Ovis aries: one gene and its partners. The protein of the gene in region 1 purifies or fractionates together with the protein of each later gene. This does not show direct contact. Links are inferred from orthologs where the notes say so. Each region holds a gene or a part of one and is shown in the gene's direction. Other genes may lie near its edges.

What was found. Proteins that work in one complex are often made in the same cells at the same time.
Region 2: the proteins of RASSF8 (region 1) and PARD3 purify together in Homo sapiens (affinity purification with mass spectrometry; 4 studies listed by BioGRID and IntAct, counting the BioPlex papers as one, with this or other methods). This does not show direct contact. The link is inferred for Ovis aries from reciprocal best matches to the Homo sapiens genes RASSF8 and PARD3.
Region 3: the proteins of RASSF8 (region 1) and PPP1CC purify together in Homo sapiens (affinity purification with mass spectrometry; 3 studies listed by BioGRID and IntAct, counting the BioPlex papers as one, with this or other methods). This does not show direct contact. The link is inferred for Ovis aries from reciprocal best matches to the Homo sapiens genes RASSF8 and PPP1CC.

Annotation. Positions count from the first base shown.
Region 1 is NC_056056.1:189,477,452-189,483,308, reverse strand, and holds part of RASSF8 (ras association domain-containing protein 8), read left to right. Parts: intron 1-1,309; coding exon 1,310-2,199; intron 2,200-4,907; coding exon 4,908-5,052; intron 5,053-5,665; coding exon 5,666-5,787; 3' UTR 5,788-5,857.
Region 2 is NC_056066.1:17,898,417-17,904,273, forward strand, and holds part of PARD3 (partitioning defective 3 homolog), read left to right. Parts: 5' UTR 1-990; coding exon 991-1,116; intron 1,117-5,857. UniProt on the Homo sapiens protein: Adapter protein involved in asymmetrical cell division and cell polarization processes. Seems to play a central role in the formation of epithelial tight junctions. Targets the phosphatase PTEN to cell junctions.
Region 3 is NC_056070.1:54,595,555-54,601,411, reverse strand, and holds the end of PPP1CC (serine/threonine-protein phosphatase PP1-gamma catalytic subunit), read left to right. Parts: intron 1-1,328; coding exon 1,329-1,433; intron 1,434-2,383; coding exon 2,384-2,607; intron 2,608-2,815; coding exon 2,816-2,950; intron 2,951-3,900; coding exon 3,901-3,961; intron 3,962-4,836; coding exon 4,837-4,907; 3' UTR 4,908-5,227; downstream 5,228-5,857. UniProt on the Homo sapiens protein: Protein phosphatase that associates with over 200 regulatory proteins to form highly specific holoenzymes which dephosphorylate hundreds of biological targets.

The DNA of each region.
Region 1 (5,857 bases):
ATTTCCATTTATTGGACCAGTAGTTGAGGAAATACTGCTACTGGTCCAGAAGTTCATGAAATTAAAAAAGAAGACAGAGGAAATAAATCTGTAGCTGTATATGCCAGTATTATAATTGCTAGATGGCAGGGGGAGGTTTTTTGGTAGTAATATTAACTATTAATGGATACTTTTTAAAATTGAGATATCATTGATATATAGGGGCTTCCCTGGTGGCTCGGGGAGACCTGGGTTTGATCCCTGGGTTGGGAAGATACCCCTGGAGAAGGGAATGGCTACCCACTCCAATAGTCTGGCCTGGAGAATTCCATGGACAGAGGAGCCTGGCAGGCTACAGTTCATGGGGTTGTAAAGAGTCAGACATGACTGTGCGACTTTCACTTTCATTGATAGATAACATTAGTTTCAGATGTCTAATAGACATTGTTCACAAATTAATATCCACCTGACCCACACGTCTTAAGTGGAAATATTTAGGAAGCGTATTCAAACTAGTGACATAAAGTCTTCTGAATCTTTATCTTCCATAATCACTGTTATATTCAGTATATTTTAATATAAATATAATTTTATTCTGTTTTTGTTCTTTAATGGTATAATTTTTGCCTTGTTAATTTTTTTTAAAGACTCTTTGAAGTTATTATTTATCAAAAGTGAACAGGATTTCTCTTCAGGTCCCACTTTTTATATGAAATTGTTTTGAAGGGTTGTTTTCATTGCAGTGATTTTTTTTTTTTATTTGCCACAGGTATACAGGAAGGTGAGGGCAGAGGAAAGGCCTGTCCTGTGCCTGTTAGCTGGGTAGCAGGCCCTCCATTGGCTCCATGTCCCCCTTCAGGAGGAGAAACAGGGGCCCCAAGCTTCCCAAGTCCTGAAGTGCAGGGAAATCAGCAGGATTCACCAAGGAGACATTTGCTCGAGTTCTGAAGTTCTTCCTGGTTCCTGGAACCAGGTCCTGGCTTCCAGCAGGACTCTCTAGTGATCTCCTTAGTTTCAGCAGGACGTCTTGCCCCAGACAAGGCCTGGGCAGTCAGACGGGAAGATAGGTTAAGATTCTCTTTGAGGTTTAAAGTATAAAGATGATTTTCTAAAGCAAGTCTGAAGGGTATATGCAATTCACATCCCATATTTTATGTGTTACATATCTTAAGGAGTTCAGTATCTTCGAGTGAAGTTTTAAAGGCATCACAGACTGGAATGTGATGCTTATTGAGAAGACACAATTATCCAATAGGTCATCTGTTTGGAGGCATTATTTTAGCTATTACATATCCCATCTTGAAAATTTATTTTTGTCTTTTTTATCTAGGTCGAACTGGAAGGTACACGCTTATAGAAAAATGGAGAGATACTGAAAGGCACTTAGCACCTCATGAAAATCCTATCATATCTTTAAACAAGTGGGGGCAGTATGCTAGTGATGTACAGCTGATCTTACGGCGCACAGGGCCATCTCTCAGTGAGCGACCCACATCGGATAGTGTGGCTCGAATTCCTGAAAGAACTTTGTACAGGCAGAGTTTGCCCCCCTTAGCTAAACTGAGGCCTCAGATTGACAAAACAATCAAAAGGAGAGAACCTAAAAGGAAATCATTAACATTTACAGGAGGTGCCAAAGGATTAATGGACATATTTGGAAAAGGTAAAGAAACTGAATTTAAGCAAAAGGTGCTGAATAACTGCAAAACAACAGCAGATGAATTGAAGAAGCTGATCCGTTTGCAGACCGAGAAGCTCCAATCCATTGAGAAAGAGCTAGAATCAAATGAAATAGAAATACGATTTTGGGAGCAAAAATATAATTCTAACCTTGAAGAGGAAATTGTCCGCCTGGAGCAAAAGATCAAAAGAAATGATGTAGAAATTGAAGAGGAAGAGTTTTGGGAAAATGAATTACAGATTGAACAGGAAAATGAAAAACAGCTGAAAGATCAACTTCAAGAAATAAAACAGAAAATAACAGAATGTGAAAGCAAGTTAAAGGACTATTTGGCTCAAATTCAGACTATGGAAAGTGGTCTTGAAGCAGAAAAATTGCAACGGGAAGTCCAAGAGGCACAAGTAAATGAAGAAGAGGTTAAAGGCAAGATCGGTAAGGTCAGAGGGGAAATTGACATTCAAGGCCAGCAGAGTCTAAGGCTGGAAAATGGTATTAAAGCTGTGGAAAGATCTCTTGGCCAAGCCACCAAACGATTACAGGTAAGAACTTTTTATAAAAAGAATTTTTTTAATCTGTTTAAAAGAATATCTTCCGGCATCTTCTTTAATGATTATTCATTTTCCCTTACATTTAGAGTTAGAAACCTACCTTGGTTTATAAGTTCCTTAGAATTTCTGTGACTTACGACAATGCTAAATAGGAGACTAAACCAAAGATGAGAGCTGGAGCCACAGGTCCTTTTCCATGAAAGCAGCTTTCTTAACTGGGGTAATAGCAGCACTAGGAGGAGAAGGCAATGGCACCCCACTCCAGTACTCTTGCCTGGAGAATCCCAGGGACGGCGGAGCCTGGTGGGCTGCTGTCTATGGGGTCACACAGAGTCGGACACGACTGAAGTGACTTAGCAGCAGCAGCAGCAGCACTAGGTAATTGGAGACAGGAGATGAGAACCTCCGAGCAGGTGTGGACGCTAATGATGAGGTCGTGAATCTGACCTCCTCCTTTTAACGGTAGGGTAACCAAAGCTGATCACCGAGAAGTGGTTCACAAAGGCTGTGTGGCTAGCTGTCTGCATGTCTAATCGCCTCTCCTTTGTTGCTAAGCACGTCTTCTCTCCTCTCCAGAGGGGCAGGTTTCTCCCTGACTTTTTCCCATCTCTAAACCGCATACAGGAACATTTATATTTCACACTCAGACCATGATCACTCAGCTTATATTTCTTGGATGCCTATTCTTGGAAAGACAATGTGGTAGTAAATGTTACGGGAGTTGCAAAGAGGTATCTAACAGCTGAAATGAGACACAATTGATTATCAAATGTTCACTTCACATTTTTTAAAAGATTTGGGGGGGGGGGGTATGTGGACCATTTTTAAAGTCCTTTTTGAGTTTGTTACAGTGTTGCTTCTGTTTTAGTTATTTATTTGTTTATTTTTAGTGTTTCAGTCAGGAGGCATACCAGGAACAGAAACCACACTTAACCACTGCAGCGCCAGGGAAGTCCCTACTTACGTTTAAACTGAAGTTAAATAATACTCAATAAAGCTGTTTAAAAATATTAAATAAAGTTAAATTTCTGTTTTAGTCATATTTGGCCTCTTTTCAAGTGCTCTAGTAGCACATCTGTTCAGGGGCTCCTGTATTGGGCAGTGCTGGTTTAGAAGCTCTGTAATCATGGATCAGAGAGTGAACCATGAGGTTTCAGGGCACAGTGGTTAGAAATTCAGGCTGTGTGTAGTAACAGCATCTCCAAATAGCACCTGTGCACATTGGAGTTTGAGAAGAGATGCTTTAGAGGAGGGACAGTTCCACAAGCAGAGAAAGCTGAGGTTTCAGGAGGAACTGATACGATTTCCTGTCTCTGCCACTCATTACGGTAAGAGGCAGAGCTACCACAGAAATTTGGAAAATCAGGAATTTCTCAGTAATAGAAGGTTGCTAACCTATGACTGGTCAGTATTGTACTGTTCTGTTCAGTTGCTCAGTCGTGTTCGACTCTTTCGCAACCCCATGGGCTGTAGCACGCCAGGCTTCCCTGTCCTTCACCATCTCCCGGAGTTTGCTCAAACTCACATCCATTGAGTCGGTGATGCCATACAACCTTCTCATCCTCTGTCAACCCTTTATTTAGACACTTAAGGGTACATTTGGTAATGATATTGCCTTGCTATTACATACTAATTTATGAAAATTGTTATTAGTAAACTCCACTTCCTGTGAAAAGTATCTGAGAATCAAATTACTCAGATATCTCCAAGTACCCCCTACACTCAAAGTAGCAAAAAACAACCACTCCTTTCTCTTTTCTCTTCCCTATCCTTACCAGATCCTTCAGACTCACCCAGCTTAGATAAGGCCCTCCTGCTTTTCCTTACAGTGCCCTAAGAGAGAAAGAGAAGAAAGTCCATTTGAATAACAGAATGCCTCTCCTTGCTTTTGGAGCTTTCTGGCCATCCAAACTTGGTCTCCTTACTTTAGAGCTCTTCAGTTCACAGACCTGCTTGTCAAGGATTTAAAAACCCCATAGTGGAAATCTTGCCTTCCTCGTGCTCTAACATAAATCTCAGTAAAGCATTTCATGAAAAGGAGCCCGAATCTCATGAACCAAATGACTGTTAATTTTGCTGCATATTGTGAAGTAGTGGGCTTCCCTGGTGGCTCAGTTGGTAAGGAGTCTGCCTGCAATGCAGGCAATACCTGGGCTCAGTCCCTGGGTCAGGAAGATCCCCTGGAGAAGGAAATGGCAGCCCATTCCAGTATTCTTGCCTGCAGAATTCCATGAACAGGGGAGCCTGATAGGCTACAAACCATGGGGTCACAAAGAGTCAGATACAACTGATTGACTAACACTTATTATGAAGTAGATATGGGGAAGTATAGTTATGAAGAGCTTACCAAGATTGCTGTAAACACTGGGATAGATGGAATCCAGTCTTTTATTCATGAAAGTCTGTAGACATAGATTTATTTCATCAGGTACATAGTGTACTCTTAGCAGAGGAAGGCATGACATTTAAAAGCACAAACTGAAGAAGCTGTTGTCTTTTATTTATTTTTTGGCCCATGCCACAGAGTGAGCTTGACCTCCTCAGCCCAGTATGTCAATATAAACCAGGTTTGTTACAAGCACTCTTGTGAAAGTGAGCATCCCACCTTTAACCCTGTAGCAGATGGACAGTGACCAGGATGTCTGTAGCTGGCCAATAATGAATCCTCAAATTTTAGAAAAAATTTAACTTCCGTCTAGGACAGAGAACAAGAATTGGAGCAGTTGACCAAAGAGCTGCGGCAAGTCAACCTCCAGCAGTTTATCCAGCAGACAGGGACGAAAGTCACCGTCCTGCCAGCGGAGCCCATTGGAGTGGAGGCCTTGCATGCAGACACAGAAAGGGGTAAGCTTTGAGAAACCGCTTTTTAAAACCTTGACTTTCACTGTTAACTTTGAATAAACTGCTTGCATTTGATTGCAACATTCTCCTACTACTCAAAACTGATTCTTGGGTCACTTAAAGAAATTTTTTCTGGGAAGAATCAATAATGTTTACATTATTTATTTACTTAGATGGGTAAATATCCTATCACTCATTTTAAACTGTTTCCTTGCAAACTTGTCCTGAAATATGTGTCAGTCATGGTCCATTAAATTGAGTGGTAACTTCTCTTTGTTCCTAAGGCCCCTTCTTCCTCTCCTAAAAGTCTTCATTATTAATTTGTGCTGGTATTTAAAAGACAGTTCTAAATCTGCCTATGCGTATGATATGAACAACCCAGAAAGAGAGGCACAGTGCTCACCTTTTTCAAAAGATCATGAACTCCTCAGATGACTAGAAACTATTTAATCAACTGAGAGTGTCAAGCAGACTCAGCCTGTCCTCTCACCCAGAACCTATGGGGGTGCAGTCATTACTCTGTATCACTTGGTTCTTGAGAACAGGGAAAGTTCTGATTTCTCATATCCAGGTCACTGGTGCAAACATCAAATGACGTTCTCTGTTTCTTGTTTAGAGGCACCATTCCAGTCCGGGTCTCTGAAGCGGCCTGGCTCCTCTCGGCAGCTCCCCAGTAACCTGCGTATTCTACAGAATCCTATCTCATCTGGTTTTAATCCTGAAGGCATCTATGTATAACATTACCTGTCTTCAGGGTAGAGATCCAGGAAAGGTACCAAGGACGGTGAAGATTCCTTCTTTGATTTTG
Region 2 (5,857 bases), on another chromosome or scaffold:
ATAACGGAAAACTTTACAAGGACAGCAAACTAACTGTGTATCTAAGGGATTAGGAAACGATATGGCGTTAACCTCTATAATCTGCTCACATATTTCATAAGGTATCTTGAAGCCCTTTCTTTCAAATTCCCCCATTTCAAATCAATTTGAAATTGACCAGATAAAGCCAGATAAGTTTGTGAGTCACACTAGGGATTTTCAAGGAAAAATTTTAAGTGCGAACACACTTGGAAACCTATGAGTTAGCAAAGGAATACAAATTGACCTTTGGTATTGGGTCACCAGTAACACCGATGAGTTTTAGGGTGTGGGGCTGTGTTTAAGTGACTTGGGGCTAGGGACCATTTGCTGCTGTAACCCTGTGTCTGTTCAGTGCCTGCCATCGAGTAGATGCTCCTTGAGTGTGTGAATCAGGTCCTGAGGCTTGATTAGGGTGATACTGTAAACATGCACATCTTCCAGACACTGTTGTGAGTGCCGTGGAGAGACAGGGCAGGAGACAAAATGAGACTGGAGGCTGCTGCTGTGCAGGGTAGATGTTAGCAGGCACTGACATTTGGGTGAGCTTTCCCCGGGGTTTCCAGGAGGGGCCCAGCGAGCTATAGCAAGTCCGAGTGACAAGGAGACCCCGTGCATTCACTGGCCCGGGTCTCGGTGTTCGTGGTGACTGTGTGCTTTGTCTGTCTGTCGCTCTCTTCTCTGCTGAAAATCATCCTAAAAGCTGATGCAGGTTCCTCGCCTGCACATATGTCCAAGGTAATGAGACTTGGAGAGGACTCTGGTCTCTGGCACATCTTTTGAAGATACCATCATAGCTCCCGCCCTGGACCCATGCTGGGAGTGTCCTGGGAGGAGGAGGGTGCTCCACCTCTGGCATCAGCAGTCCCAGGAAACACTGGGACAGGCCTTTCCACCTCCCGAGTGCCTGCAGTTGGAGCCACGTTCTGAGTACCAGCATCTGCTGTCCCCCATCTTGGGGCCACCCCTGTGATGTGGTGGTGCTGTGGCCTTCCTCGCCGGACCCTGCGCAGCGGGGGCTATGCTGAGTTTGAGTGTAGGGGCCACAGAGTGCGGCTGGATGGCTGTGTGCCCAGGCTTCTAAAAAGGAGACCCCAGGTAGGTGCAAATTATCTAACTATCAAAACCCACCGTTTCCTCACAGTCTCCTCTGTTAGTTCACGAGTCATTCTTCTGATTCAGTCCAGTTGGGTACTGCCAGATGTAAGGAATTAATTGTGGATTTTTAAGCAACTTGAGATAACATCTTTAAAGAAAGATGGGAGGTGGTTTTTGGATTAAGTCATAGGATGGGGGTGTCGAGAGCTGCTTTGGGGTCAAATTTGGTTGGTTTGTTTTAGAATTTTGCACTATTAGAGTTTATCATGTTTCAGGGAGGCTTTCTTTCTGTCGGAGAAATTCCTTTTTGTCTGAGTCAGCCTCTCTTGTTGGCTGGTTGGGGAGTAAATAGGAGAGGGGAGGTTTTTCTTTTGTGAAGCTGGGTAAGAACCTTGAGGATCTCTTAGGTTGGTTATTTCTTTATAAACAGTAGAAAAACATTCAGCATCTTAGTTCACTTTAGAAGATCTCAGTTGTTGCCTGATGTGTACAGGTGCTGTGGGCTGCTGGTGCCCCAGGATGGGTCTCTGCCCTGAGGGGTCTGAGGCCTGGTTTTAATGGTTGTATGTGTGTGCTAAGTTGCTTCAGTTGTGTCCGACTCTTTGCAACCTTATGGGCTGTAGCCTGACAGGCTCCTCTGTCCATAGCATTCTCCAGGCAAGAATACTGGAGTGGGTTGCCCTGTCCTCCAGGGGATCTTCCCCACCCAGGGGTCTCTTATGTCTCTTGCATTGGCAGGCAGATTCTTTACCACTAGTGCCACCTGGAAAGCCCTTTAATGGTTATGGGATTTTTGCTTTTTTCCCTGCAGCTTGGAATCCAGCACTTACAGGTGCCGACATGCTTCTTAAATCTATATGTCTTTATAGGTGACACTGGGGGTAAAACATTACTTCCTTAAACTGAAGATAGTCTAGTCTATATACGTGTAGACTTGGGTTACATATTTTTCGTTGTTATTTTTTCCCATTCTAAGTGAAAAAAAAAAAAAAAAGAATGAAAGAAAGAAAAGACAAGACTCTATCCTGATCAGATTTTCCCTTCCTCGTGTGTCCTCCTAACAAATCCATTTGATCCTTGTGCAAGAAGCAGTGCGTCCAAAAGAGCAGAGCAGTCACTGAGAAGTCAGAGTGACATCTGAGCTGAAATGCCCTTTCTCTTCCATGATCTCAGACAGGTTGGGTTTCCTGCTCCCCTGGCCTCACACCTGCACATGGAGCCGGAAGCATTTACCTCGAATGAATGTCCTGAAAACCATTGCTGTGCATGAGTGGCCCCATGCTGGCCCCTCGTGGAGTCGGGAGGGTTAGGGAGGCCCAGGGAGGCCTGGTGCAGGCGCCCACCTTCAGCTCTCTGGTGGTCCCCAGGCCTGGAAGGAGAGGCTTGGAGCTGGGGAGGACACTCCTGTAGGTCCATATTGTTTTTCGGGTCTCAGCCTCATTTACTGTCTCACGCCCTTTCCTGGTGCCTCTGGCCTATCAGGTGACAGTACTGCCCACCGTCTGCCCTGGGCGTCCTGACCCTCCCTGGGACGTAATCGGGGAGAACGTGGCTGGCCTCAGTAAGCTGTTGTCTGGCTCTCCTTTTCCTAAGTTGTAAGCAGGTGTGACCAGCATAAACTCAACTTCTGCCTGGTCCTCCAGGCCAGCGGTGCTGGGGATGCAGCTCTGCGCGTGAGCATGAAGGTGTTTCTGCAGGAAATTGGGTTCCTTTACGTTGGGAGGATAAAGTACCTGGAAGGCTTCTTTCCCCACAGCTCAGGCCATCTGGAGTGTCAGCCAGGATAGTCACACTGAGGTTCTTGAGCAAGCTCTGCCTGAAGTCAGAGGATACAGGATAAAGGGAGCGTTGATCCCAACAGGCGCCCGTGTCCATGGGGTTTCTTTTGGTGGTTAGGGGAGCATAAGCCTCTTCGTGGATTCTAGTTTTCCGAGAAAGTCTTGTTGAAATTTCTTTTTTGTCCAATTGGGTTATTTATTATATGTATTTTATACATTATTTGTGCAACAGCATGGTGTTTTGTTCATTGTTTTGTGCTAAAGAGCAGAAGATGATCCCTGCATTTGGGGAACTTATCTAGAGATAAAAAAGTATCTCCATGCGTGTGCAAGGAAACAGGCTATCATGTGACACCTCTGTGGTCTGGATGAACACCTTGGGGTCGGAGGGCATTTCACGGGGAGGTGGTTGTGATCTCTGTGGGAGAGGGAAGGACAGCCTGGGTCACTGGAATTGTGGGGTGAATGCTCTCAGCTGTGTGGAGGGGAAGGGACCAGTGTCTACTGAGCACCTGCTCTGTCTCGGGCTTGGCTCTGGGTGCCTAGGGTAGGATCCACAGAGAGTCCGGAAAAGCAGGCTTGGAGAGTGTTGAGTGCTTGGCCGAGGACGTTGGGTTTTAGTGGTTAGGATGTAGTGAGTCACTGGAAGTGACTCATCCCAGGGCAGGGACACGATGAAATAGGTGTTTTGTGAAGATGAATGCAGTCTCAGGATGTAGAGAGGATTAAGACAGGAGCCTGGAAGCAGTGAGATGAGTTAGAAGGTGATTCCATTATTGAGAACAAGAAAAGAAGGAAGGGGAAAGGAAGGGATGTATTCACTTGTTACTTAAGGTGATAAAATTATGAAATTATACATATATGTTTCTTATGGAAAATCAGAAGGGTGGCCAATTGAGTTTAGCAGTTCTTTCCCATTGTCTGTGGCTGCAGATTCTACTTCAGACTAAAGATGAGATGCTACCTTTCATGGTGTTCTGTGCACAGCATTTAAATTGCGGTGCAGTATTTCATGGATTATATGTCCTCAATTTCTAATTGTTGGGTGTGTAGCTGCTTTCCTATTTTGTAGTACTGTTTATTAAAACATCTGATTTTCTATATACATCTTGACCATGTAGACAAACATTTTAAATTCCTGGGTCACATACTGATCACTTCCAGGAAATTTTCTGTTAATTAATTCTGTCATGATAAGACAGATTCTTCAATTGTCCCAGCTTTTTGTTTTTTAAATAAAATTTCTCTCCAGACGCAGGGTCCACTTCAGTATCATACATTGCATCTAGATACTAGATACTGTGCATTCAAAAAAAAGAAATCAGTGCAGTTGTGTTATTAAGGTCTCAACTTCTGGACTTGTCTGGTTGTTTCCTTGGGGTGTCATTTGACTTTCCGTCCCCTGTATTTCCTGTGGGGAGGTGAGGTTTATGGCTTGCTTAGGTTAAGTCAGAGGAGGATGGTACTGCCAGTAGGAATGAAGACAAGATGTTGATTTTATGGGCAAGATAAGGGATAAAAGCTTCATAAATTAGAATTAAAATAGGACCTGATGAAAATATTGTTTAGTTATCAGTTATTCCCAAAAGAATATCCTTTTATTCATCGCATTAAAATTTCCTGGCAAGTAATCAAAACAAGCTCCCTGGGGAGCTCAGACAGCTCCCAAAGTCACGTGCAGTGAGAGAGGCTGATGATTGCATGTCGAGAGAGCTTTGAGGTGAAATGGCTCTGAGAAAGAGTTTGTTTCCGACACTGACTGTGAATACATATATAACCATCTATGTGATTGTGAAATATCTATGTATGTATTCATGGTGATGTTTTGTAAGATGTAGTAACAAACATCTGTTTCATTTAAGAAATGTTCCTGGGACTTCCCTGGTGACCCAGTGGTTAGGATGCCGTGCTTCCACTGCAGGGGGTACGGGGACTCAGATCCTGCATGCCACATGGCATGGGAAAGAAAAGAAGTGTTCATGGGGGCATTAGCCCATGAGTTTATGAGCTAAAACATAGTAATAATAGTACCTAGAAGAAATACAAAGCATTTCAGCCTTGAGAAGTTCTGATTCAGTAGAGCTGAGGTTTGGAACTTCCGACTAGTAGTCAAGGGGTGCTGATCTGGGATGGAATCCTACTTAGAGAACCACTGCTTCAACTAGGATGAGGTTCAAACTGTAATACAATACTTAGGTGAGTGGGTTTTCAAACTTGATTTTTTTAAACAATCAAAACTTTTTTTATTAAAATAAATATTTTATGGACCTACTCACTGTGCAAAACATTAAAAAGTGATGCTATTGGGAAGAGATTGGGAGGAGGGGCTGTAGGAAGACAAACAACTGTGATGCTGCTGTTGGAAACCACCCGTATGGGTCTTAGAAAGGGCTAGGAATCATCGGCAGACCTGGGGCCGTCTTGGCTGACAGCATTTATTAGTTGTGACTTCTTGGCAGCAGTTTATGCCCTCTGAGTCTTAAATTTTCTCATCTGAAAATAGGGCTTATAAACCCTCCCATCACGTTAGATAGTGCGCGTGAACGTAATGCAAATCTAACTCAGGGTTACCACATTCTCATTCTTGCCTTGGCTCTGTCCCAGGCCAACCCTGTGATCTCTGTTAGATGATTTCTATGGAGAGAAGCAGGAATTGGGGAGCATCTGTGGCTCAGGTGATATCTTTGCTGTTGTGAAAGTAATGTCACAGGCACAGACGTCGATCATGGGCTGATCTCCCATACTACTGGGCTAATGTGCGACTGTAGAGTGATCATGTGCTGATTCTAATAAAGCAGAATGCCAGACAGTTATTTCCTTGGGGTTGGAATTCACCTTTGGTTTCAGGCTGCCTTCTTCTTTTTTGATCGACATGTTGAATGCAGCCATCCACCCTTCAAGGGAGGCAGCAGGTTTGTGGTTTGCTCTGTTGTGTTGTGGTGGTGAGGTGGTGTCATGAATGT
Region 3 (5,857 bases), on another chromosome or scaffold:
TTGATATTGACAACGAGTCAGAGAAGTGCTAGTAAGGCAGTCACTATTTAGGTAATGAAATGAGAGGCAGAGAATTTTATAACATTGTGTTTTAGGAATTCATTACAGGTACTACTGTTTAGAACAGTTTCCTTTTTATATAGCGGTTAGCCAATATTCTGAGGTTTTATTTGATAAAGTTCAAATTCACACAGTCTCTTTGTTGTGATATACTTCCTAGTGTGTTGGCTACATCACTTTTGGTTTCTTTTTTATTAGAAGCGTTAATCATTGAGAAGGTCAGCATTGAATAGTATCAATTTTGACTCTTTGTCTTCAAGACTCATGTAATGAATGACCTTGTACTGCAGCTTTCCCCTCTCCCATCAGGGAGGTATAGTTTGCCACCCAGTCTGTGGGCCTGAAAGTATCCTGACATAGGTGGCTTTCAGTGGATGGTTTACCAACGTAAGAAAACATTGATAATTTTGTTAAAATTGTACTGTATTGGAATTTTTTATTCAAATGTAGGTTTCCATGAGGGGATTTTATTTTATTTTATTTTATTTTTCCATGAAGGGATTTTAAAGCCACTGCTGAACGTGGTACTTTTTTCCTAAGTGTAGCAGGCACTCTGTGCTACCATTTCCTCCATTCCCCCTGCCCATGTTGTGACTGTAGTCCTGGAAAAGCTGAGGTATCTGTTGCTGGATAAAATGTGAATGTGTGTTACACTTTTCTGATGCCAGAGCTGTCTGGTCTGTGGTAATAGGAAACTGCATTAGGGGTTCTGGCTCAGAATCTGAGGATTTGGAAGCTTGAAGAGGCCTTGGCAGTTATCCAGGAATCTTTCTGGAGCCAGATGCTCCTGTCGGTCTGAGGTGGCCTTAGCGGGGAAATGTACAGAGGAAAGAAAGCAGCAGCCCGGGACTAAGTTAATAAGATGCTCAGGCAACAGGAGGAAGAATCTTAATTTTTGATGAAGAAGCCGACAGAGTGAGTTGTGAGTTGTTTCTTGGTCGCCTTTGGAAATGGAACCCACCTATGGTTTGAGAGTGGACAGAACAGACTATATTGCAGACAGAGTTGGTGCTATCAAATAATTGTTGAGGCTTAATGATAATCCTTAATCAGTATATCTGGAATTCTGTTTTCAGACTATTTTAAAATAGTGCATATGAAACTAAGTTGTTGCTTATAAATCATACATCTCTTAAATATTATATATATCTAATTCTCTCTTTTTTAATAAAAGCATAGTTTTTGAATATTGCCTTGGAGGACTTATCTTGAGGGTATGTATCTGCAGAACACCAGTCTCTCTTTTAACCATCCCAAAATTTCCACAGGTAAAAGAAGATATAACATTAAACTATGGAAAACTTTCACAGACTGCTTTAACTGTTTACCGATAGCAGCCATCGTGGATGAGAAAATATTCTGCTGTCATGGAGGTATGTGGGCTGATTTTAATTCCATGTAGATTTGGATTCTTCTAAAGGGTATACACTTTGACATTGATGAATTAACATTCGGATGACTTCCTCTGTGAGGTGACTCTCCTGTACTGCTGTGTTAAACCAGGAGTCCACTCTGGCACATCCAGGATCATCCGGATACAAGTCCAAAGTATGCAGTTGATTTGTTACAAAGACTTCTAGGCTCTGTAACAGTTAGTCTTGAAACTAGAGTAGAAAGTATTTTCGAATATAAAATAAACAATGTGCTATACCATAGACTCTGTAGGATACTGAAAATGTGAATATACTTTCCCTTGGACTGTTTTTGGTCTTTTCCTTTCAGAAATTTCTCTGACTTAGATGTTAAAAGTTATTTTGCTTGGTGATTGTACTTTATATGATGTAATTAAAATAGTAATGGCAAAGAGGATATCTTTTCATCTATGTCAGAAGTTAGACAACCATCAAAAAGCCAACTCGACTATATTTTAATAAAACCACTATCCTTGCCCTCCTTAGGTACTTATATACTGGTTTTGGTAGAGTTGGACATGTGATTTTTAAAGTCAGATTGAGAGCCAGTTATATCTGAGCTGGTTTGACTTTACAGTCCTTGGCCAGTGCACGTTTCCTAGAAAGCTTCATCACCTGAGTGTCTGCATCTTCTACGCCCGGTCACTACAGTGGTCATTAGGGTGCTCTGAATGTTGAAGTAACTTTCCTTGTCCTGTTTGGGCCCACACTGCCCCACAAATTAGTGCATGTAACAAGTTCCAGTGTCCCCCACCCCCCGTCCCTTTTTAACAAAAGCTAATAGGTAAGAAAAGATAACCAAAGAGTTCATGATTGAGTCTCTCTGAAGAGAAAGGGAAATATTAAAGTGCTGACTTCCCTTTTAAAATTGTGTTTTCTTCCATTTTGGTTTTTTCCCCCTCATTTAATAGGTTTATCACCAGATCTTCAATCTATGGAGCAGATTCGGCGAATTATGCGACCAACCGATGTACCAGATCAAGGTCTTCTTTGTGATCTTTTGTGGTCTGACCCCGATAAAGATGTCTTAGGCTGGGGTGAAAATGACAGAGGAGTGTCCTTCACATTTGGTGCAGAAGTGGTTGCAAAATTTCTCCATAAGCATGATTTGGATCTTATATGTAGAGCCCATCAGGTATTGATTTTGAATTTTACATGTACACTTAAGAGCATGTGTGTGAGCACAGATTCTCCTTGTTGATTTTGGTGGGTAGGTATTGCTTATTTATACAAAATGTCTCTGGAAATGACCTACAGGATATCAGGCTCAATGGGAAACTGAAGAGTGATTTTACTCACCTAAAGTTTGCACCCGTTCACATTGAAAACATTTTCTCTCCAAGGTGGTTGAAGATGGATATGAATTTTTTGCAAAGAGGCAGTTGGTCACTCTGTTTTCTGCGCCCAATTATTGTGGAGAGTTTGACAATGCAGGTGCCATGATGAGTGTGGACGAAACACTAATGTGTTCTTTTCAGGTAGAGGATGTTTTCAGCATTGTTTCCTTTTATTATGTCTGCATTTTATTGATTTTTTAAAAGTGCTAATTTCTGCCTATATTCATTTATGTGGAATAGACTGAAAAATTATTATTTTCCCTTAATTGGTGTTTGTCCTAGTTCAGTAATGAGTGAATTCCTTTTAAAAGAATGAAATGATCATAGAACTTTTGCCCCAAGTATTGAATTTAACTTTTTTCATATTATTTGAATACATTAAAATCATGAGACATTAAGTCTAAAGCTACAGTGTTAGTACCGTGTTCCGCTGAAATTAAACCACATGAAAGTAGCCCTCGCTGCCGTGCGCCAGGTGTGCCACGTGATGACTCAGTTCTCCCTCCATGTCTCTGTTTCTAAAAAACCTCTAGTGATTGACCGTGACATCATTTGGCCGTCACTTGGCACAAAAGAATCATTTACACATAAAGTCTGCAGTTTTTTTCTCATTCAATTACTATGATTAAACTTATACGACTTCAGGCTTACCCAATCATAAACAAAAACACAGCCACTGAAGTCAAGTCATCAGTTAACTGAATTAAAACAAGTGTTTTTGACTTTTTTTATTTTTAAATTATCAGGTCTTGCAACCCCCAGAGATTATGACATGATCCCCTAGGGGTTTGAGAAACACTATTCTAAAGAACTATATCCCCTGGGTCAGAAGGGATACCTAAAGATGTGACTTCAAAAAACTGTCATTTTATCCAGAGGCGAAACAGTTTGTCCAGATCATATATCATAGCGGTTTATAAGAGTATTTATTACCAAAATGTTTGTCAGCTTGGTTTGTGTTAATACGCCAGTGGAGCTTTCAGAGTTGTTGGGTCAATTTTAAACAAACTTTCTGAACAAAAGATTTGAGTGAAATGTAAGACTTGAGGTTAAGTGTATTTCCTAAAATACACTGTCTTGAATCTTTGCAGATTTTAAAGCCTGCGGAGAAAAAGAAGCCGAATGCCACAAGACCCGTCACACCTCCAAGGGGTATGATCACAAAGCAAGCAAAGAAATAGATGTCATTTTGATACTGCCTAGTTGGGACTTGTAACATATAGTACATAACCTTCATTTTTAAAACTGTAATGTGTATTGGTCAGCTTGCTCAAATAGTGTTTGTGGGGCTCCCCTTTCCATTTTTGACTTAATGAATGGTATTTGCTGGTTATAACAGCAAATGAAAGATTCTCCACTCCCAAGGAAAAATGTTTTGTTTAGTTCCCTGTTCCTTTTACAGACAACATTAATGGTGTTAAAGCTGTACACTCAGGACAGTGTCCCCTGTCTAAGGGGTGAGTGTACAACTGATCTTTTTTTAATTCAGTACAGCCCATAAATAATGTAAATGCTCATTTTCTTTAGGATATAAAGAGAGCCCTAGGGTGCTCAATCTGTACATGTTATTGTCATAAAATGCATACTGTTGGATACAAACCACTGTGAACTTTTTTGTTTCAAAGGGATTGCTTTTTTTTTTCATTGTCTTATGTACAAACTAGTTTTTATAGCTATCAACATTAGGAGTAACTTTCAACTTTGCCAGCATCACTGGTATGTATATTTAATTAAAGCACACTTTCCCCTACGGTATACTTAAAATGACGATTAAAGCCATTATTTTAAATGTTTGTGACTTTTTTCCTGAAGCCAAAGTTTCTGTTGAAATATATATTGACACTCCCCTAAGTAAGTACAAGGTGGCATGGTTGTGTACACCTGTCACCTTTATGGGGATTCAAAAACAGGTTTTTGAGTTTGAATAGCAGTTAGTAACATAGTGCTGTTTAAGCTATTAATAATTAAAGTTAATTACATTTTGTATGATTTCCATATAGTCTATTCATTAAGTAATCTTTTTACAGTTACATCAGGCCTGAACCCGTCCATTCAGAAAGCTTCAAATTATAGAAACAATACTGTTCTATACGAGTGACCGATTATGCATTCTTTGGCCTACATTCTTTATTCTGCGATGAAGTTGAGGCTTATAAGTCAAAACAAAGGAACTAACTTACTATCCACCAGTTTATACAGAACTCACAGTATATGACTTTTTTAAACTAAGATCTGTTAAAAAGAAATCTGTTTCAACAGATGACCGTGTACAATACCATGTGGTGAAAATTAATTCAGACTTATTAAATGATGAACTTGTTAAATCCTCTCAGTGTCAATTTATCAGCACAATACACACAGGAGAACTGTTGATGGCATATTGAATAGATTTTAATGAATAAATTGCTCTGGAAACCACACAGTTTCAATTTGGATTTGTCTTCCTTCAAATAGTCTGTTTTCCAAAGATGGATTGTAATATGGATGCTCATTCTTCAAATTCTTATTGGATATAACTAAGTTTCTGAAGTAGAGAGATGAGATTGAGCTATTTAGGGAGGTGTGGGACTTGGTGAGTTGTGTGACATCATCTGTATCCATATTTTTTGTCTGGGTTTATTTGAACTTGGCAATAAAATTCAAGAGCTACTTTTTGAATTATTCTAAGTCAACCACCAGTGTTTTTATACACAAACCTTTGCTCTTTTCTCTCTTCCCTAATTCATATGAAACACAATGTTGTGTCCTACATTTTTCACAAGTGTGTTGAATGCATATTCATTTCTCTGGTACATTAAAAGTGGATGGAGAGTGTGTCATTTGAAAAGCACATTCTTCTATCAAAAACTGGTTGTCTCATAGGGAGCTGAAAGAGGACCACCTAGTGGGGATTGTTTGAACCAGCATTTGCTTGTGGGAGAAAAGAGCATAGTTTGTACTGCAAGCCCTGGCCCTGGGGCATTGGCCGTGTCCGTGCCCCCAGTGTGCTCCTGGGTGACCTCGTGACGTCTAGCTGCTTCTCGCTCCTTCCTGCTCTACATTTGTGAC